Linked DNA regions of Lepisosteus oculatus. The protein of the gene in region 1 purifies or fractionates together with the protein of each later gene. This does not show direct contact. Links are inferred from orthologs where the notes say so. Each region holds a gene or a part of one and is shown on either strand. Other genes may lie near its edges.

The links. The genes of interacting proteins can lie anywhere in the genome.
Region 2: the proteins of arhgef12b (region 1) and myo6a purify together in Homo sapiens (affinity purification with mass spectrometry; 4 studies listed by BioGRID and IntAct, counting the BioPlex papers as one, with this or other methods). This does not show direct contact. The link is inferred for Lepisosteus oculatus from reciprocal best matches to the Homo sapiens genes ARHGEF12 and MYO6.
Region 3: the proteins of arhgef12b (region 1) and vapal purify together in Homo sapiens (affinity purification with mass spectrometry; 5 studies listed by BioGRID and IntAct, counting the BioPlex papers as one, with this or other methods). This does not show direct contact. The link is inferred for Lepisosteus oculatus from reciprocal best matches to the Homo sapiens genes ARHGEF12 and VAPA.

The regions. Positions count from the first base shown.
Region 1 is NC_090718.1:14,318,623-14,325,673, forward strand, and holds the start of arhgef12b (rho guanine nucleotide exchange factor 12), read left to right. Parts: upstream 1-4,036; 5' UTR 4,037-5,742; coding exon 5,743-5,774; intron 5,775-7,051. UniProt on the Homo sapiens protein: May play a role in the regulation of RhoA GTPase by guanine nucleotide-binding alpha-12 (GNA12) and alpha-13 (GNA13). Acts as guanine nucleotide exchange factor (GEF) for RhoA GTPase and may act as GTPase-activating protein (GAP) for GNA12 and GNA13.
Region 2 is NC_090697.1:9,138,188-9,145,705, forward strand, and holds the start of myo6a (myosin VIa), read right to left. Parts: upstream 3,022-7,518; 5' UTR 2,876-3,021; intron 2,067-2,875; exon of another isoform or gene 1,942-2,066; intron 1-1,941. UniProt on the Homo sapiens protein: Myosins are actin-based motor molecules with ATPase activity. Unconventional myosins serve in intracellular movements. Myosin 6 is a reverse-direction motor protein that moves towards the minus-end of actin filaments.
Region 3 is NC_090701.1:56,563,635-56,570,855, forward strand, and holds the start of vapal (VAMP (vesicle-associated membrane protein)-associated protein A, like), read left to right. Parts: upstream 1-4,200; 5' UTR 4,201-4,280; coding exon 4,281-4,338; intron 4,339-7,221. UniProt on the Homo sapiens protein: Endoplasmic reticulum (ER)-anchored protein that mediates the formation of contact sites between the ER and endosomes via interaction with FFAT motif-containing proteins such as STARD3 or WDR44.

The sequences.
Region 1 (7,051 bases):
AATTCGGAGACTATCCCAGCAGGCAAAGGGCTCGAGGCAGGGTACACCCTGGAGGGGACACCAGTCCAAGGCAGGGCACACACAGACACAGACATAAACACATTCACTCACACCTGGGCCAATGTTCCTTTAAGCCAATTAACCCACCTGCACGTTTTTGGACTGTGGGAGGAAACTGGAGCACCCAGAGGAAACACAGGTGAACATGGGGAGAACATACAAACTCCAAACAGACAGCATCCCAGGTCTGAAATTGAACCCAGAGCCCCAGCACTGCAATGCTAACCACTGTGCCACTCTGCGACACCCTTACTCATTATCACAAACTCAAATCATCTCCGAGAATGCTTTATGCACATAAAAAGTGGAAATCCGAGGAACTGTTGCTTTCTTTAACTCCTTTGCAGGTTCCAATTTACATTACTTACCTGCCTTTCAGGAAACGCTGCAGTTGATCTGGTCAGGAATTGTTCAATTACTCCGATTGTCAGAGAAACATGTAATATTGCCATCTGTCCGGTAGGTGGCAGGTTACTCCACTTTTTCGCATGCTTTAGTTTTGCAAACAAAACGCCGAATTTGGCACTCGGGTACTGGGAGTCAAGTGGAAAGTCCACTCAGATGCAAGTTGCTTATGTAAGGGGTTACTTTTGTAAAATTAACATGAATTTGGGGTCGGGGGAAATACTTAAACATTGATCTGTATTGCATGTACAGTATGAGGTTATCGTAGAGAAACTATTAAACATAACAGACCCCTACACGAGCAATTGTATTTGACTACGTTCGTTACATGATCATGGTCACAATTAAGTATTTTTCCCATCACTGGCTGTAAACTTACTAGTCCAGAACAAAAAGCATCGCAGGCCTGATGGACATGAAATGGTGCTTTATCTTATATTTTCAACTTGACTTTGATTTGTTTGTGTTCGTAACCATGAAGTCTTCTTTGCCGGCTTCCGTCCTAAAATCAATATTGCATCTTACTACTTCCGACTCTCCGTCGCGACTTTTGTAAAACTGAAGTTCCGGACCCCCTATTACAGACTTAATCTGTCATCTTCCCGTGAATCTTCTTCATCTGTCATCTTCCCGTGAAGGGAGGACTGGGACAGAGGCTGGGACATTATGTGAGAAATGCAATAAAATGTGGTGCACGTCTCGTTTCATACCTATTTTACATGGTCACAAATGCAAAACCAAAAAAAAAACAAACATTTACACGTCTCAACTATTTTTTGTCATTCTTGGGACCTTGAAACATTTTTGGATCGCTTTACAACTTTGCAGCATTTTCTAATAAGAAATGAACAGCTACTCATTTCGGAAACGCATACAGCCCCTTGGCTGCGATTGCATTGATTTCTGCCTTGAGGAGGACGTCAGATATGACAGGCGCTTTAAAAAGTATTGAATTCCCAGGGGGCTCTGAGCTCTCCAGCTTCCGGGGGACTGATGCTGGTCATCGGATTTTAGGAAGCCGTTCACATCGATCGCGATGGTCGGGACCGACCTCTGTGCAGCTTGTAGGCCGCGCTAGGAATCACACAGCCCTGCTTTCAGACATTACATCAGGGATCCTTGTTTGTTTAGAGATAACACCCGGAGATAAGCATTGCATTTATCCGGCGCAGATCTGCGAAGAAATATTCTTTTTTTGTAAATCATTAACTGAAAAGTAGGAAACAGTAAAAAAAAAACCCGAGCCGGGATGCGAGCATGCTCGGATTCTCTCATGACTAAATCCTGGAGGAATGGCCCTGTTTTCACTGCGAAGGGGCGAGGCTGTGTCCACTTTTATTTCTAGAGAATAATAATGAACAAGAAATAGGTTTGTTACCTTCAGGTGGAGTATGGAATAAACCTATTACTTGTTTCTTTGCAGCCTACGCATGCTGACAAAGCTACTCACCTAAACTAATAATAATAATAATAATAATAATAATTGCTTACACTTACATAGTGCTTTTCTGGACACTCCACTCAAAATGCTTTACAGGTAATGGGGATCCCCTGCACCACACCAATGTGCAGCTATGATGATGCAAGGGCAGCCATTGTGCCCAGAACGCTCACCACACACCAGCTCTCAGTGGGGAGGAGAGCAAGGAAGCCAATTCATAGAGGGGGATTATTAGGAGGCCATGATTGATAAGGGCCAACGGGAAAGTTGGCCAGGACAGCAGGGTTACACCCCTAATTTTTTCTAGAAACACCCTGGGATTTTTTATGACCACAGAGAGTCAGGACCTCGGTTTTACGTCTCATCCGAAGGACGGCGCCTGTTTACAATATAGTGTCCCCGTCACTATACTGGGGCATTAGGACCCACGTGGACCACAGGGTGAGCGCCCCCTGCTGGTCCTACTAACACCTCTTCCAGCAGCAGCCTTAGTTTTTCCCAGGAGTCTCCCATCCAGGTACTGACCAGGCTCACACCTGCTGAGCTCCAGTGGGGCTGCCAGTTGTGAGTTACAGAGTGACATTGCTACTGGCTTGAGCGTCTGCATACAGCCCTATGTTCTGGGTCAGTGGCCGAATGGTAATGAGGTTTTCTCACCAAAGTGATCCCTGTAGTTCAGAACCTGCAAGGTGCCTCAGGATCCTGTAGGCCTAGACACCACACTGTACGGTGGTTAAACAAATACATTTCATATATAACTGGTCTGAGCACTTCCGTTATGCGTGTCCAGTCCTGGCCCTGGAGGTCTGGTGTATGTATATGGGTTTTCATTCCAGGTCATCTCTTCACGGGCTTAAACAGCTGGGTACTGGCTTAACTGGGCCGATCTTACAGCTTTCTGAGCTCTCTCTGTTTGTTAACGAGGTGCACGACACGCCGCGGTCCACCACCACGACTGGACGCCTAACCCGTCTCCCAGGTGAACCCTGGCGGCTTGTGTCCTCCTCCAGGGAGGAGATCCACTTCGGGTTTTGCTGACTCTCCCTCTAAGGAGGAGTAGCTGAGACCTGCTCTCTTCACGAACGTAAGAACGAAAGAGAAGTCACAGGAAGGAGCGCTCTGCTTGTTTAGCTGCTGTTGATCCAGCCACCTCTCGAAATATCCCAGGAATCTGGCTTCAATAACATAGCTGGGCAGTTTGCTCCAGACACTCGCCACTCTTTGTGTAAAAAAGGAACCTCCTTTTTCTAACCCAGTACAAGCATTAGTATCATTATTCACGGGATGTATTTTGTGCTGGCTTCTGATGTCTTCCGACATAAAAAAAACTTACAAATTCTAGCAACTGTGTAACGATGAAAGAGGTCACTGGGGCTGTGGGACAGCCAGGAAATCGAGCTCCTGATAAATCTCTCTGCACAGCCTCTAGTGGATCCGATAACTGCCCGCTTAATTGCTTAATTTGTGTGCAGACTTTACCCTCTGCGAGAGACGATTGTCTTAACGGCAGAGCGCCTTGCATTCCATGCTGTTCTGTCACGTAGTCGGGGAACTGACGAGCACAAAACGTCAGGCAGCCTTGATAAAACCCACTCAATTCACTAAGCGTAAGCGCCCCCACCAGTCTTACAGAAAAGACCTGGCGAAACTCGGAGGGTGTGATGCAATTATAAGGGAGGTCAATACTATCTACCAGGCGATGGCTGCGTTTTAGGTACCGTGACAATTTGACACGATACAATCTCAGCTTGCCGCACGTCGTTTTAATGACATAATATACTCGGTTTCCAAGCATCATCCACGTAATATTGCTTGGGCATCGAGTTGAAAGAATAAAAAAAAAAAATACTCTAATGTGTTTTACAAATGTCATTTTCCCTTACCGTGATGTCAAGATATGGGAACTAAACAATGACACAGTGGATACATTAACACAAATAAAACACGCGTTATATACTACATTTCACTTTCTTGTCCAATTTATAAAACTTTATTATCAGGAAAATAAACCTCACAAATTAAAGCCATTTTCACATGGGATATCTAGTAAAAAATACCGATCCCCGTTCTTCCCAAAGTTCTCTTTGGGATTATATGTTTTTGGTTGGGCGGAAGTAGACGCAGGAATGAGGGAGCGATCAGTCTGGGCGGAGTGATCGGGGAGGTATTGTCAATTTGTTGAAAGTAATAGACTGTAAGAAGAGAAAGGAAGACTTGCGGCCGTTAAAGAAAAACTCAGAAGTTTACGGTCTGTTGTTTGAAGAGTTTAAAATAAAGGGGTTTCTTCTATCTGGGAGCGTTGCTACCGTGCGGCAGAAAGAATAAGGGTGGGAAACGGGACAGAAGCAAAACACTGGATTGCAAAAACATGGAGACACGGAGAGAAGGGTATTCCGCGCAAGTTTGAGGGATTTCGTCTGCAAGTCCAACATATCGGGGAATTTGAAGTGTCGCCCGGAGCTGAAACCGGTTCGATTTGTAGCCTCATCCCTTCGCTGTTCCCCTTTTTTGTGGAAAAGATCTGTTTTCGGATCGGGGAATAAGAGGGAAGCCGAGTATCGAGAGAACACCAAAAAAGTTTTTGCCCTGGAAAGCGCCGGACTGCCTTGCTGAGGAAATCTGGGAGTTCGTGTTGCTGGAAAAAAAAAAAAAAACAACAAGGGGGGGGGGGAGATCGCGTTTTAAAAACCACGCACAGCCGTGCGGGCGCGCCTCGGGTTGCTATGTAAGGATCGGGAAGGGGGGAATCTCAAAATTAGAAAAAAAAAGGACAAGAATTTGCAGGTTTTTGGAAGAGCAGGAGCAGGAGCAGGAGGAGGAGGAGGAGGGGGGGGGTAGTCTTTTTTTTCCTTTTCATTATTCATTGGAATATCGGCAAAGCAGGAGGGCCTGTTTCTGGACAGCGGGGCTCTGAGGAGCCGGGAGGCTAATGGGAGTCCTCGCGGCCGGGAATGCTGTGAGTCGCGCGACCGGGACGGGCTGCTCGCGCCGGGCTTCGGGAAAGTCCCCCGAGCTGGTCGGGAGGGAGCGGGCGGCGCAGTAGGATGAGCGACGGCGGGCACGGCTCCGGGGGGGAAACCGAATAGGGATGTATATTCCTAAAAGCATCGTTTAAAAAAAAAACAAAAACAGAAACAGAAATAGCCGCCGCCGCAGCAGCAGCAGCAGGACGGGTGGGGGGGTGTGGAGGGGACCCCACGGTGGTGTGATGAGAACCTCGCCGACTGTAAAGGCAGGATTCGAAGGGAACAGAGGCGAAGCCGGAGAAAGGAGAGTTTTCCAGCCGGGAAGCGCCTTCACAATAGGAATTTCAGTGCGCCGGCGGAATTGAGCACCAGGCGGCGGGGAGACGGAGCCAGGGGGCGACGCGTGCTCGGGAATCCCGTCCTGCGGATTTTTTTTTGGGGGAAAAAGCCTTTCGCGCATTCCCCGCGTCAGACCCTTCCGGATTCTCTTAGGATTGTACAGCGATCGCCCGGATCTGCTTCATTTTTAGATCCATTTATTTATATGAGATACAATTTTTCTTCCCGCTCCAGTGGAAGGATCCCCGTTTACATTATTGTTGTCGTGCGCCCGGTGTGGGAGAAAGAGTCGTCGCGCTGCGGAATCTCGACAGAAGTCTGCCCGACATCTCGTCCACTGGGGTTTGTTCTTCAGCGATATTCGTATCATTGTTGGCATTTGTGACACACACACACACACGAGAGAGAGAGAGAGCATCCTGACGGATATTAGGAGGGACCTGCTACTTTCCCGACAGACGGAGGGTATTTTTATTTTTGTTAAAATGCTAATTGGATAAGAGCCGAAGCAAAACTCGAAACAGAAGCCCAATGAGCGGCACACAGTCTACAATCACTGACAGGTAAGCGATTCGCGGTGGCGTTTGTCTTGGCTTTTGTTGATATCATTTCCAGGCGTGCAAGGCAAAAAGTGTCTTTTTTTTTTGTTTGTTTGCACGGCGCGGCGTGATGTCTCCCATTAATGTTTTATTTTAATGTGGTTTATCACCCCTCCCCTCAGTCTGTTTGTCAGGCGTTGATCCGGAGAGAAACGATGCTACAGTATGTGCAGATAAAACCTGGCGGTGGGAACAAAGCTGTCGGGGCCGCGGGAGCGAGCGCAGTGTCGCCGCGCCGGGTGGGCGAGATCGCGCGGCGCGGCGGGGCACGCGGGAGTCGGGTGGGCTTCGCACGTCCAAAGCTCAGTTTCATTTCTGAACTGCGTGAAAGGTGGTCGGAGATGGGGTTGTTTGTATTCCCCACACCGAATGGTTTTGACCTTGTGGCCGATACGGTCATGTTACGGAGCGTGACACATATGCGCGACGTTCATTGACGAAGGGCCCCCCGTCTTCGGTCTCATACGATCTCGCATGCTCAGATTTCCGAGGGGCGGAATGCAATCGAAGCGGAGCCCGAACGGCTTTCCGGGGTGGGGAAGGACCGGGTGCTTTTGCGCGCAGCGAAGTTGCAGGCGGCAATGGAGTGGGTTCCGTCTGCACGACAAGCGCCTTGGATTGCATAACGCGCCGCTGCGTGTTCGTGCGTGTGCGCCCCAGCACTGGGGCTCAGACCCCAGAGGCGCCGGGCATGTGTGCTCAGTGTCGGGGCTCTCTGTTCCAGTACCTGCGGTGCTTTCTTCTGGTGCCCAGCGGTTTTGGTGGCAGGTGTGGCGATGTGGACTGAAGCCACCCTCATGCCAAGGGACCAGCGGTCTGCCTGTCTGACGACTGGCTTGCATTGCGCGCCCCTGGGGTTCTTGCAGGGTGACGTCCCGGTCCGGCGGAGGATGGGGTTGGGCCGGACGGCTGACCCGTCCGCAGGGTCAGTTTTTACTCGACTGGTTCACCTGCTTGTGACTGCTCCCGACAGGTGCCGGGGAGCGATTTACCCAGGGACAGGGTGGAGAGAGGGATTTCTTTTCCGAATTCATTTTGTTTTTGTTTGTTTTCTGTGATTTAAATGGCATTTCTGCATTTCATCCTGGGGAGAAGAAGCGAGCGAGCCAGCGCAGTGCTCTTCTGTGCTGGTCTCCCCCTGGCGCTGTGTGTCGGTGCCCCAGCAGGGACTGAGAGGGGGTCAGTCGGATCACGAGCTGTGCGATCCGAAGGCCGTGCCTGAAGCCTCTGGTCCCCCAAGT
Region 2 (7,518 bases), on another chromosome or scaffold:
TTCGGCTGTGGAGCCTTCTTCGGGTTTCAAAATCTTCACACCCAAAGAAGACTCCACAGCCGAAACATTGCATTTGCGTTTCTCTTTTCAGCATGGAATAAACCTTTTCTTGTTCCTTTGTAGTATACTAATAGGTTCACTTGAATTATGGAACTATACAGATAAAGGCAATTGTGGATAAACTAGGGAGACATAACAGCACATTGGTTTGAACTGCTGCCTCGTAGTGCTGGTACAGCGTCTTGGATTCCCAGGGTGCCATCGGTGTGGAGTTTCTATGTTCCTCCCATGTTCACATCAGTTTCCACCAGGTGCCCTGGTTTCCTCCCACAGCCCAAAGACATGCTGGAAGGTTAGCTGGCTTCTGTAAATTAGCCCTGGTGTAAATGGGTGTATATTTTTGGTCTGAGTGAGCCCTGCAGCTGACTGGTGTCCAATCCAGAGGTGACCCTGTACTGGACAAAGCGGTTTAGAAAATGGATGAATGTCATCAAACCACACTAATGAATTATAAGCATTGGAAGCAGAAAAACCTCCATTTCCACTTTATGACGATGAAGAAAAGTTCGAGGTGCCGCACTTCAAAAACAAACACTCCTCTCCAACTGTCGCTTCTAAGGACATCCCCACCTTTTATCAAGCTTTGTAATACACAGATGTGTATCCCGGAAATGTTTGACACGGTCCAAATTCCACTGCATGTGGAATCAGCCCTGAGATAAGGAGGTGTCGTTCCCTTTATAATAACACTGGGAGGAGCTGGGTGGACAGCTCCATCAACTGGAATCCCTGGTTGATACCGATGCCCGTGTTAAAATCAGGAGATGAGCTTCACCCTGCAACTTTCCTCTGCAGTCAATACTGTGCTGTAAAGTGGAACTCACTCTTTGCCAAGGGTGTGCACTGACACCATTCATTAGATCCTAGAGTCTAATGATGCATCATAGCTAAATTTATCTTGCCGTTAAATTAAGTCATGCATTTCTATGGTTTTTACTTTCTCTCTCCTACACCGAATAAAGCAGTTTGTGTTTTATCGTACAGTTCTGCACTGTGGTCTTCAAATGGGCTCAAGGTTTCTTAATGAATTGTAAAACCACCGCTGGCAGGAAGTGTCTGCATATTTATAGAAATAGTTAACCAAGTCCCTACTCTGTACTAGCAGCCCTTTGAACCTGAGGCTGTTTTTCCACTCCACTGCACACCATTTGCAAAAGAAACTATTCCTAATGGTTAAATGATACCCAAAAGATATGGATTTGAAGGAACGTATTACAATGTCATTTTCAAGAATTAGTTACATAGTGTAACTTTTTATGCCATCACTCATAAACCAAAGATTCCAGCTGCACACAATTCATAGCTCTTGCAGTACAAAGGTTAAGTCATAATGGTGTTTCACAAGACGTACAGTTAGACAAATGTTTATTTTTTCTAAAAGTTAATTAAATGTTAAAGCTACATCTTGCTCAGAATTATAATACAATTCAACGTAATTGAAGGCAATAAGTTTCAACCAATTTCCAGTCACCTAATATGTACTAGTAATACTGATCTATGCGGTCTTAGACGTATGTCATTCATTCCAATTTCATTCATCAGTGAATTGGAAAGATAGTTATCTTGCTATCATTGAATCACAGCAGTCCAAGTGATTTTAAGCAATACTACCTAACAGGAAATCGTTATTTTAGATGTAAAATCTTTTTTTAAATGTAGGACGTGGTGGGCACCGGTTAAAATCAACAGCATACATTTAAAATAAAAGTCAATGTTTAATAGCAGTGCGTCGTGACTTAAAATCCCACTTTACCTGCAAGTTCATTGCAAAGTATTTTTACAGTATGCGTAAGGGTAGTCAACTGCACCTTTTAAAGGCTGTCCTTAACGATTTCTCCATTCATTTTAGAAACAAACCATTCATTAGGTTAGGGGCCCTACCTCCTGCGGGTGCTTCTTCCAACTTTCCGTGTGTCAGAAATTCAGACTACTACTCCTAAAATCTGCTTTAAACTTTGAATTAAAGTTTCACTTCAGCAAGAACGCAGCGTGAGACCTAACTCGAGACGTAATATTTTTTGCCTCCGTATCTCAAAAGCTAATGGCAAACGCCTTCAGGCATTCCTGCATCTAGTTACCAGCCACAACCTTTGTACCTCCGATTTTCCTACCCAGTTATTTAACTCGAGTGCAGCTCTCCTTGGTGTCAGGAGGCCCTGCTCCTCCATATTTTATCGTCTCAGGTAGATTCATACACGCGTCCGTATCAGTAGCGGTGTAAGTTTCCAAGTTGTCAAGCTTCCCATATCCAAAACCTCTTAAGAAAATCAGAGAGCAAATCAAGTGCCATTTCTTCGGATTACTCTTCACAGCCCAGAAAAAGCTAGGATCCGAGGATTTACTCAAGTTCACGCTTAATAAAACGGTTCTTTTTTTTTTTTTGCTACCGATAACCCAAATACAAATGATGATAAAGGAAAAGAGGATGGATCTAGGAAAAAAAACAAGTCAAGCGACCGACAGACACATTTACACTAGTTTTATCTGTATTTACTGCCCGGCAATATTATCAGCGGTGCAATTAATATAACTCACGCTGCAAGATATGCAAATTCACCAAGTAAAGAAATCCCACGCTTGGATTTGTAAACCACAGGATTTTCAGAATCCGGGTCGCTGTGCTTGTGGGACTGGAAGGGAGTTTAAATGAAGTGGCAGCTCTTCCTGTGTTTTGACAGCCTCCATTAGCATCAGCATTACCGGCGAGCCTTTCCTTCTACTTTAATGTTTCAAAGCCGGAGTGCGACAGAACTGAACGACATCCCCCCCATCATCCAAAACGCTCAATCAGGCAGAAAGTTGTACAGGAACTTACTCTGTCCCGATTTTCCGAACGTCCTCCGGGGCGATTTCCTCTTCTTCTTCTTGTGCACACAGAAAGTTCAAGTTTCCCTAAGTGATCCCTAGCCGCAGATCCCGGCTCCGGTCTCCCCGTGCTCCTCTTCCTGCTGCAGCCCCGGCTCTCCAATTCGCTGGGAAAGACGTCCTGGGAAATGGCCGTGACGTCACTGGAAGAGGCGCAGCCGCGGCCGGCCGAGAGGGGGCGCTGCAGACGGGTGACTTCGTGAGCCGCCTGTGTCGGGGCGGCTGGAGATAAGGCGTGACTTTTTTAGTTTCTTTTTTTTATTATTATTATTGTAACAGCAGTGATGTATATATAATACGCACAAGAGTACATATAACACCATCAGTTGCATCTTACAAAAAAGGTTAAATGAGGCAAATAAAGATAAGGTACACACAGCTTTCATATTCTTATATTTTTGCTAGTTGATCCAAATAATATGTACTGTGTACGTAAATGTGGCTTTTGAGTGAAAAGGCGGTAATTGACTTTTGGGTCTTTTTATGGTTGCTTATTTTTTTATTATAGTTCTTGTGTGCGACTCTCTCCTAATGCCTTCGGGTCAGAAATGTAAAGATCACTTTTTCAAGAAGTTCTAGAGTTAACCGAGCGGAGCCAAACACATCGAGCACTGAAGTTAGTATTATAGTAAGCATACCATGTTGGACTAGCGTTTTTTAAAAAATGAGTTTTTTAATGCCGTGGTGGAATAATATGTAGCTTATTGCCCCCGTGTCAGTGGCGCTTTATTAAACCGGACCACTGGTTTCCATCGGTTTGTATCGTCATGTGGAGCTGCAGCTCCCCAGAGACGCTCCAGCTGACATCTGCCGGTGCCGGTGTAGTTCAAGTCACCTGGCAGCAGAAGTCCTTCGGGAAGTGTAACCTGTCGGGATCACATATACCTTGAGTGAAACTTAGTCAGATGCCGTGTCTGGCGGACCGTGCAACACCTCTTGGTTAACTCCTTAAAAGCCTTTTTGTTCGTTCCCTAAACCTGCAGCTGACGAGACACGGACCCCATAAATGATAACTGCTTTTAATGATAAAACGTTTGGATGATTAATCCAATCTGCGTGAAAGAATGAAGCTCACAATTCCAGTTGCACTGTAGTGACGTGTTAATGAGCCGTTTGTTAGTTGCACTTTATCAAATATAAGAAGCGAAATGAGTGCGAAGTGGTGTTGTTTTTAAAAGACGGAACCTGCGCCTGGCATCTGGAAGATTCTGGAAAGACGAGGACCCGGAATAGAAACATTAAACCCTTCATCACAATGCAAATTGCGCACCCAAGTGTTGATGGTAGATTCCCATTACATAGGAGCAAAAAAGACTCTATGATTCAAAAGGTGATGTCATGTACTGTATTTATAATGTGTGTTAGCCTTGCTGATTTACAGCAGTGGGGCCCCAAGCTGAATTCCAGTCTTGGGGTGCTGTCTGCGTGGAGCTTGTATGTGCTCTGCATGTTTGTTTCCCCGTGTGGGCTCTGGTTTCCTCCCACAGTCCAAAAACATTCTGGTGGGTTAATTGGCTTCTGTAAATTGGCCCTGTTTTGAGTGAGCGTGTCTGTCTGTATGCCCTGTGATGGAGTGGTGCCTTATGCCCATTGCTTGACAGGACACACTCTGGCTTCTCTGCAGCCCTGAGTTGGATAAAGTGGTTAGGGAAATGGACAGGAGGACTGATGGGCAGGGGAAGGCCTTAATTTAATCAAGGTTTAGAATTTGCAGAGGAAACTTAAACCTTGTGTCAGGTAACAAAAAAGTATAAAGCACACAAGAAAGTAAATAAAAACATTAAATAACAGAATATAATTAACACAAATGCTGTGAATATTATTGTAACCTTTTTAAGTTTTAATAAGTGATAAGTCTTAAAGGTTGTTTCTAAGTTATTAATTGCAAAGAAAACACAAACGAAGCACTTTAAGTAGCAGATTTCATTTGTGTTTAAGATTAATTAGAAGCTTGCTACTTTATATTATTAAATATATTCCAATAAAGGTCTCAGTTATCCATAGGAACAGATTCAAAGTGAATGGATATTATAAGCTTGTACCTATTACAAATAATAATGTTAAACTTATATCTTGTAATACAAAAAAACAGTTATTAATTATCGTTTATGTTGCGTTGGGGGGTAGAATTCATTAGTTCTTGTGTTTGAACACTTTGAGAGTGTTGCTAATACTATCAAGCAGACATCAACAGTTTAGCAAAAAAATACAAGCAGTTCAAAGAAAAATTAAATATCCACTTCGAGGAAATTTATGTTTCTGCTGTTGGGAGTTTTTCCAATACAGAGACGGCATCCTTCAGAGAGCACTTGAAGTGGAAATGTAAGGTGAGGTAGATTTTAACATCACCATGGTTTCCACAAGAATACAACACATGCCAATCTATTGTTCATCAATTTTTAACTATCCAGTAACATAAAACTTTTTAAGTATTTTTAAAGGAGACATTTTATCCCAGGTTGAAAGGCAATACAGGGTGAGCACATCTAATTAGCTGGACACCTGATACATTAAGCCTGGCAACTGTATCATTTTTCTGTGTTGGAACAATGAGGCAAAAACTTGTTTCTTGAAATGTTTACATGTTATTTTATTTCATTATGTTTAATCTGCTGGGTCTAAACCTCTGAGTCACACTTCATGTAAATGCTGGAAGACGTTTCAGAAACTGGATGGTACCTCATTCCATTTGATTATGATTTGATTCGTTTTAGTCATGTGGAGAATTATCTTGACATAATGCCATTTCTGTACAAAGATGTTGAAAACGTAATTACGTATGTGTTTTAAGGTTTAATGAAATACTGCTTTCTTCAGATTTATTCTTTATACATTTACCTATGCCACATTGAAGAGGGTTTTTTTGTGAGTGTTTTTGCTTGGTTTTCATTTACTGCATACACATAAATAAATTGAGAGTTTAAAATTTAATTTGCTTTGCAGCAACAGCGGCTGCCATGTGTGAAATAAGCAGCACAATGTAAGACACTATCAGCGGCAAACCATTAGAGCTACAATAAATACCCAATACTTAATAATAATAATTGTAAATTACTTTTCACTGTAAATGTAATCACATTTTAAATATCTAAATGTGCAAATATTTTAAGAGCCTACTTTCTTGGGGTCATCAAAACCACACATGCTGGAAAATCATACCATGCTAATGCCATTGTGCTAGTCCATTATAGGTCAAGTAACAAGACAGAATGAACCATTAAATGTGTTAATCTGTCACACGAATCTTGATACTCATCGCTTTTACGTTTTTGCTTTTATTTTCCGGACAGTTCTTGGAATTCCTTGAAATAACTGTGGAACTGTGTAGAATGAGTAGCGTCTCTTTGGTCCTCCCTGTGCTTGCCTGCCCATCGGGTCACCCACAGCACATTGGCCATCTCCTTGTATCAGCCAGCCTAGTTTCCAGTTCGTTCCATTCTATCCAAGGTCTTTCCTGATCACGGGGGATCATCTTCTGCCAAGAAGTTCTAGCCCTGGACAGAGCCCTCCCTCTTCTTCATCTTGCACTTCCTGGCCTCCATCTGCGGGCTGATTTCAACAGTCTGATCACTGATGTCTTCTCTTACAGATTAACCGTGAAAGTGCACTTTGTTCAGTGATTTTCCTGACTTCACCATTTTCCTGGCATCATTTGGGTGCTCTTAGTTCCTTAGCGAGCAAGGTCAAAGCTAATCGCTATCCGGCAGCCATGTCACCCTGCAACTCACAACTGACGACCCCCTGAAGCTCGGCCGGTGTGAGCCTGGCCAGCACCTGAATGGGAGACCCCCTGGGAAAAACTAAGGCTGCTGCTGGAGGAGGAGTTAGTGGGACCAGTAGGGGGCGCTCACCCTGCGGTCCATGTGGGTCCTAATGCCCCAGTATAGTGACGGGGAGACTATACTGTAAACAGGCGCCGTCCTTTGGATGAGACATAAAACCGAAGTCCTGACTCTCTGTGGTCATTAAAAATCCCAGGGCGTCTCTCGAAAAGACTAAAAAAAAAAAAAGAGTAAGTGTGTTACCCTCGTGTCCTGGTGGTGGAGGGGAGTCCCCCTTACCTGTAAAGTGCTTTGAGTGGAGTGTCCAGAAAAGTGGTATACAAGTGTAAGGAATAATTATTACCAATAATAATGGCTAATTGTTACAAAGTGATCATCTTCACCCCCTATTGCAGCAGCTCTTCCGTGCTGAGAGAAGTCTCCCCCAGAATGACAGTGCCCTCATGTTAGCCATACGTCATGACCTTCTCAGTCGCCAAATCTGAACTCAATCAAGCATTTTTATCATCTGGAACAGCACTCGTGAGGGTGTATTCCACTTCTATCAACCAGGTAGGAGAATGTTATCACTTCCCACCTGCAGAATTCCAGATGCTGGAGGACTCTCTGCCATGGAGCATACAGGCTGTACTGGCCACACATGGTGGCCCAACACCCTATTAATTGACCTTACATTGGGGTGTCCATTTTGTTGTCCAGTACCTACTGTACATACATATATATATTTACAGAAAAGTTAAACTTTCTAGGAACACCTTTACTTATGCCATGGCTAAATCACACTGCTCAGTTTGACCAAGTGTTATTTTGA
Region 3 (7,221 bases), on another chromosome or scaffold:
AGTAAAGGAGTAAAAAAAAGGAGAAGTAAAAAAGTTAAACATTTATTAAAATATTTAAATAATCCTCTTCTGCTTTGTTAGCTGTACTGTGAACGTCTTCTGCTTTGTTAGCTGTATGAGGAATCAATTATATTACCAGAAATGTCACCTCAGACAGGACTGTGCCAGTGGGAATTCTGCCTGTGTGCTGCAGTTCAGTCTGTGGTACCGGGACTCACATTTATAACCAAGTCGTTTTTCACACTTTGGAGGCCTAAATGCATTAAAATTTAACCCTGGAAAACAAAAATATGATATCAATGAACTTGCACTGACAGCAATATAACGTAAAATAACTGAAGGGCCATGGAAAACGTAACTTTATATACAGACTGCGATTCATTTCACAGCTTTGAAAAATCATATTATAATCATGTATTATGATTATAATAATGTAATTGATCATTTTGTACTAAATGCTTTCATCTGTAATACATGATTAGCATTATATGCTCAATTTACCCTATTTCCTTAATTGTTTCCAATCCTGAATGTCTTATAATATCTTACTATTAGCTTCCTTAATTTCACCACGCTGAAGTGTCACAACAGCGGAACCGCATCTTTCTGGCTCATTGTTTAAATTGTCTGGATGGACTGGAACTAACAGCAAATTTTTGGAGTAGTACACGTGACTGCGGAGCTCTATAAATCTAGTTGACCGCTGGCATTCTTAACGTCTGCAAAGGGTACTGATTCAGAGGGGAGAATCACAATCCACAGACAGACGAATTGTTCACTGAGTTTATTCTCTGGGTGATTAATCTTTGTCTTGTGTTAAGAGACCTGCATTCCTTAACTTCTCAAAAACCTTTCGCTACTGCTCTCAACAGCCCTGACTACTGGCTGCAGGAAGCTTTTACAAGGAAGCTTCGGTCCTGTAGAGTTCTGGCTGGTGTTAGAGAAATAACTCCACACTTTATGAGCATCACGCAGTGCAAAAGGCGTGAAAACTAAAACGTAAAAGATGAGAAAGGAAATACAAAAAGTGTATGCCACTGAATATTTGATGTACGTCTTTCAGCAAAGATATGTAACATTATAAGAAAAACCAGTAGACACCAGCAGGAAGGTATGTGCAAATTGTCATTGCTTTTATTTGTGGGCTGAGACAGGTACACCCTTCCATGTAATTTGACTCTCAATAATAGTATTGTGTAGTATTATAGGAACAAAAATATCCAATGATGTGCAGAAAGGTAAGTAGTATTGTACTCATCTGTGTTAATAATAGAAGTAGCAGCAGTAGTAAAACTACTGAACATTACATATAGTTCATAATTAGGACTGAGATTTCTGTGACACATTTTGAAGGTGCTAATTTGATACTGACAGCTGAACTACTGCATGAATCTGTGTCAATTAGCAATGTGTAGGAGTAAATTAAAAGCAGAACTACCTGCCAGTTTATTTTAAACAACTTTTGGCTGCAACAATTTGAGGACACAGATACCACAGACAAGTGTCCCTTGACAGCCTGACAGTAGGCTTTGTAAAGCTGTTAACCTGCCCTGCGGATCTTGTATACACATGTGGAAGAGAGTTTAATGAAAAGTGTCTCAACTCAAGAATACCTGGATCTTAAAACTCTTTCAGTTATCTTTGAACAGTCAGTGCAGCTCTATTATGGCTCCATATCATTAAAATAAAATTCAGATATTTCTAATAATTCAGAATTCAGGTGAAGTTTAAAATGGGGTAGATACCTGGCAGATGATCTTTCAAACAGACAAATGTAAAATATTACATGCAAATACCAAAACTATAAATCATAAATACATAATGGGAAATGCTCAGTTTGAAGAGGCTATAAAATTGTGTGCAGTGTATTATTATGAAATATACATTATTTTGTTATTAATCACAAACAGTCTTTCTTTTTCTGTAATACTACAGCCCAGTTTAAACGTGTTAAAGTCGGGTGTACACTGGCATAGATGATGTATAGGAAACAGTGATTTTGCTTTGCAGATCTTTATTTTGTTTTTCCTCAAAATAAATCTAAAGACGTGTGTGTTTACCTCACACACAGACAGTGCAGCTGCTTCAGGCTGCTGTGGAAGAGTGAAGGAATCGCCACCTGACCCCCGAGTCCGAGCAACATCTGTTGCACCAACAAAAAGAAGGGAGCAAAGTTGTACCCCTTCATGTTTTCTGACTTTGAAAACCTTTGTTGATCTTAGCTGGACTGAAAGAGGATTTCCGACACTTTGTTCCCTTTGCTCAAACTGACGACCACTGCAGGGAGCAGTCTGTGAAACACAAAGAACGTTTCCTCTTAACTGGAGTAAAACTGTCACCACACGAATTTCACTTTAGTTGCTTCACATTTACTCTGGTTATTGTGAAAGCCATTTGAGGATTTTCTCTATTTTTTTAAAAGCTAAGGGAACCACCAAGACAAAGCAAAACAAAAATGCAAGTAAAAACCAGGAGTTCATAAATAAACATGAGAACATTAAAAAGGTTCCCTACAAGAGGACGTCTTTCAGTCCAGTGAGCTTGTTTGACTGCTAGTTGCCAACAGATCCAAGGATCTCATCCAGCTGCTGTTTGGAAGAAAACAGGGTATCACTTTCAAGAATATGGCTGAATATTTTGTTCCACTCTTCCATAAAACTTTGTCTCCCATTCTCCCTCTTTTAAGGTACCTCCCCATAGTTTCTATCTGTATCCTCTTGTTCGTGTTTCACTGATGATCCTGAAGAAGCCCACTGGATTTTCGTCTGTGGATTTGCATAATTGAATAACCTTCAAAGAACGCAGAGCTCAGCAAGTTTGTTAAGGAAAATCTACCTTCTTTAAAACCATTCTGACTATTCAGTAAAACAGTACTGCCTCACACGTCTTCTTGTTTAGGAATAGAGCCACAGTAACTCATTGGGCCAGAGGTTGTCTTTGTTTCCTTAGTGTTAGCTGGACGAGAGAACAAATTATTTTCTGCTTGGAGGGGACACTGTTTCACAAGGTTTAACCCCCAGCAATATTGGTCTCTATTTACATAGCTGGGGGGACTGGAGCAACTGGAGTAAAGCACCTCAGTCAAGGTACAACAGCCCTGTCTTCAGCAGTGACTCGAAGCCAAAACCTGCCGGTCATGGGACCTATGCTATACCACCACAGTCCCAGACTCCATGTTGAAAAGAAAAAAGAAAAACAAAAAATTGACTGCTGAGCCTACTCCAAGTGTGAGTGTGAAAGAGGAAGGCAGCAGGGATACAGAGCACTGAAGAATCAAGGACACAGCAGGGTGTGAGAAAGACAGAGGTGGCCACTCCGCCTCCCCTACACTCTCTATATAACCCCTTCTGACTCCCCTGTCTTTCTCACACCTCCACCTCCTCTCTGGAATAAACCTTTAACTTCTTCCTTAATGCTAATTATGTTGGCATAACCTTCCATGTACAACAACAGCATGTGATTTCTTTATACTTTATATCATTTCCTCACTTACTTTTGTGACATAGATAGTATCTTAAATGGTTCAAATACTGCAACACTTCCTCTTCTGTATGAGTTCTGTTTAATACAGTTTCTTCCAGTATCCTCATAAACTGTGTCCCCTTCACTATACTGGGGCATTAGGACCCACATGAGCCACAGGGTGAGCGCCCCCTGCTGCTCCCACTGATACCTCTTCCACTTTAACAGTCGTTAGGGAGGCCATGTTATGGATGTCCAGGGTGAAATTCGGCCAAGTCTTAACTCTGCTTTTATGAAGAGTGTCATGGGATCTTTAATGACCACAAGTAGTGAGGACTTTTCTCATGTGTAGGGGGTTTCCTCTGACATATCAGCGTCACTGGGCACCATACTCAGGAACTTGTTTGGAAATCCTAACCCAGGAGGGAGAAAGCCACTAAGATTAGAAACCTGCTTTCCCTTAGAGGACCCTGTCCTGACCAGGCCCAACTATGCTTAGCTTCTGGGATCTGTGGTGGTCAGGTTACAGGCATCACTGCCGCATTGTACATAAAGGAGGGCCAGTGTCATAAAGCGATTTTAACCCGGGACACATACCGAATGGCCATCATCACAATATATGAAGGCATGTGGCTGCCGAGGGCGTCTGCACTGCGCTGCAGCTGAGCAGCCCTTCAAAGGGGAAGCGCGTCCCCGGGCTGCGCGTGCTCGTGCGCTCGCCCCCGCCGCCCAGTGACTCAGTGCTGCTCTCGGGGTTTTTTTTTTTCGCTCTCGCAGCGGCAGCTCGGCACCGCCATCACCGGAATTCCCCAGCAAAAATGTCCAAGCAGGAGCAGATCCTAATCCTCGATCCACCAAACGATCTCAAATTCAAAGGTAAGGACCCATCGTCGTGGCGGGGCGGGGGAGCCGGGTTTCGCAGCCGCCCCGGAGTACCCAAATCGGGGGATAATTTCGCTCCCCCCCCCCCTCCGGTTACTCGGGGTAAACTGCCCGCCGCCATTTTGAGGAAGGGAGTCGGAGTTGGTGGGCCGCGGCGGATCCGCGGTCTCCCGTGAGCCGCGCAGCCGGCAGGCGAGAAGGCTCTCGCCGCAGCGCAGCTGGCTGAGCTGCGCCCGTCGCCACGTCGGCTTCCCTTGGCAAGCACGCCCGGCCGGAGTGTGATTGTAGCCGCGGTGACAGGGGTCGGGGTGTCGGTGGTGTGGATGTGTCAGGCCCGGGCGTTGCAGGTGAGCTCCGGCAGCGATGGACTGAGCCGCCGGTGTGTGATTTTTGTGTTGTCTGTATTATTATTTTTTTTGCTACGTGGACTAGCGACGCGACAGACGGCTTGAGAGAAAGAGCAGGGATTTTTGTGCCCGAAACAGCTTTGAATCGTGGTGGCGGCGACACTCCTTTGCAGGAATAAGACTCAATCTAAGGAGATTGCATTTCACGGTTTTAGTGCGATTTATTTTGGAAGCGGTGCGGAGCATTGCGTTCCTGGGTGTTGAATGAATCCAACTTGTGCCTTTGCAATCGCAGGCAAAGCTTTAGAAAGCGGCAAGCGGAGATATTGATATTGTTTCGGACACTTTGCTCCAGATTCGCCTGGTCTTCCTTGTCTTTGTAAGTGAAAGTCGCTTATCAGTGAGAAGCAGGGGACGAGAAATGGCAAAGACGATGACATCCACGTGCCAGAAAAAAAGTAAACATTTCTGCAGTGTGATACGCGGATGTAATGGACAAAGGTGGAAACTGCCCTGAATCTGATCTCACGAACAGGGAATCACGGTTGTGAAATCTGTGCATTAATCTAAACAGTGAGCCGATAAACTGCATGGCTGCCGTTGTGCAGGAATTTTCGGAGGAGCGTTTTTCAACAATGAATGCACAAGGACATATGACAAGTCGGGAAGGAAACGAGGCCTCTCCGCAACTTTATCTGGCACGGGTGCTGGGTGATCGATCCCCCTTCACCCAAGGAGGATGGAATCTGAGGCGAGAACACGTTGTAATGTTTCTAATCGAAACCAGAATGTTGTGAAAGAGAGTTTAAAAGGTGCACATAGTCAAAGTGAAGTTACTGCACTGCTTCCTTGGATCGAAATCATCCCCAGCTCTGCAGAGCAGGTAAATTCAAGCTGGATTCGACTTCCTTATTCTGGACGGCGACCAGCTAGAGACTGTGAGACTGTTGCCTGTGATGGCATGTGTCTTCTGAAGAATATCCCGGACATTGTAAAACTCCGAGGTCAGGAGACCTTCCTGGCTACCCCACCTTCATGATAACTCTGTTGTTGTTTTTTTCAAGGAAGTTGTTTGGTTTAGGGAGCGTGAATGGGATTTTTCACCCATTCATTTCCCATCCAGGATTGAGGCAGAGCCAGAGCCAAGCCCAGCAATCAGTGAGCCCAAGGCAGGGTACGTCCTGGATGGGACGTCAGTCAGCACAGGGCACACAAACGCGCACACACACGCACTCACTCACACCAGGGTCAGTTTTCCTATAAGCCAGTTAATTTAACAGTGTGTCTTTGGACGATGGGAGGAAGCCTACGCCACCATGGGGAGAACAGACAAGCTCCACACTGATGGCCCTCTGGCCCCAGCCCTGCGGAGCAACAATACTGACCCCTGAACCACCACGCCGCCCAGCGTAATTACCATGGTATTATTACACAGAATTGGGCCAGCAAGTGCTCCGTTGAATATTAGATGGGAGGCCCTTCTGCATGTAAGAGGAGTTGCAGGGCAAGTGGAGGAGTTGTGGTGATTTGCCTTATTCAGGATGATAGCTTACCACCTTGTTACACTAGCTAGCACATGAAGTCTTCTTCTGACAGCAGAGCTTGACATCAGATGCTGTCTCAGATTCTCTGACTTTTAGGAGATGTGAACAACCTGATGTTGCTTGCATTTTTGAGGTAATTGCTCCTTTTTTGTTTCCAAGACAGGCTTCTAGCTCTGGGGCACTCTGATACATCTCTGCAGTGCCCCAATAAGGGAAACAAGGCTTTTGTTGGGTGGTGTGGCCAGTGTAGCTCTCCTTGCCCCTGCCTGGGTTCGAGCACCTGCGACTCCACTCTCTAGACAGCGGGTACTTGCGCCTAGCTTAAAGACCAGGTCTCTGCCTCTAGCTGTCAGTCCAGCTTCCAGAGGGGGTGAAGTCGAACTTGCGTCAGTGCACCGAGCCCTGTCACAGTAGCAGTAACCGTGTTACACGGTATTTCGATGCAGTTCAGATTTAATGGGGCTGTAGGCTCTGGTACAGACTGAACTGAAGGAACAGGATATGCAGGCTGTATATTTAACTTTGAATGTCTGTCTAAAATTACGTAGTTTAAAGCAAGAAACATGAGACATCCAGCACCTGGTATTGACTAACGCAAGAGCTTACTGTAAAACCTGAAATGCGTCAAGTGGCGTGGTGGTGGGAGTCTCGCGTCTGTTTTTCTTGTTGAAGACCTCTTGCCCCTGTGAACATCTGCATCTCCTTGGAATTGGACGCAGAATGTTGGATCACGCTTTGTCAGACGCCAGGGTGTGTGTCACATACTTTTTTTGAATGGCCTGCCTGCAACTTAACACAAAGGGACAGCCAAGGTGCTTTTGGCAAGCTCTGGTAGCAGATCGCTAGGTGCACCTGCTATGATGGGCGACTGCACACACCGAATTCATTCAGGACGCGTGTAATCACCTGGTGCTGCTGGCTAGGATAGACTCCGTCTCCCCTGCGACGCTCTGTTGGATAAAGTGGGCAGACAATGGAGGGGTGGT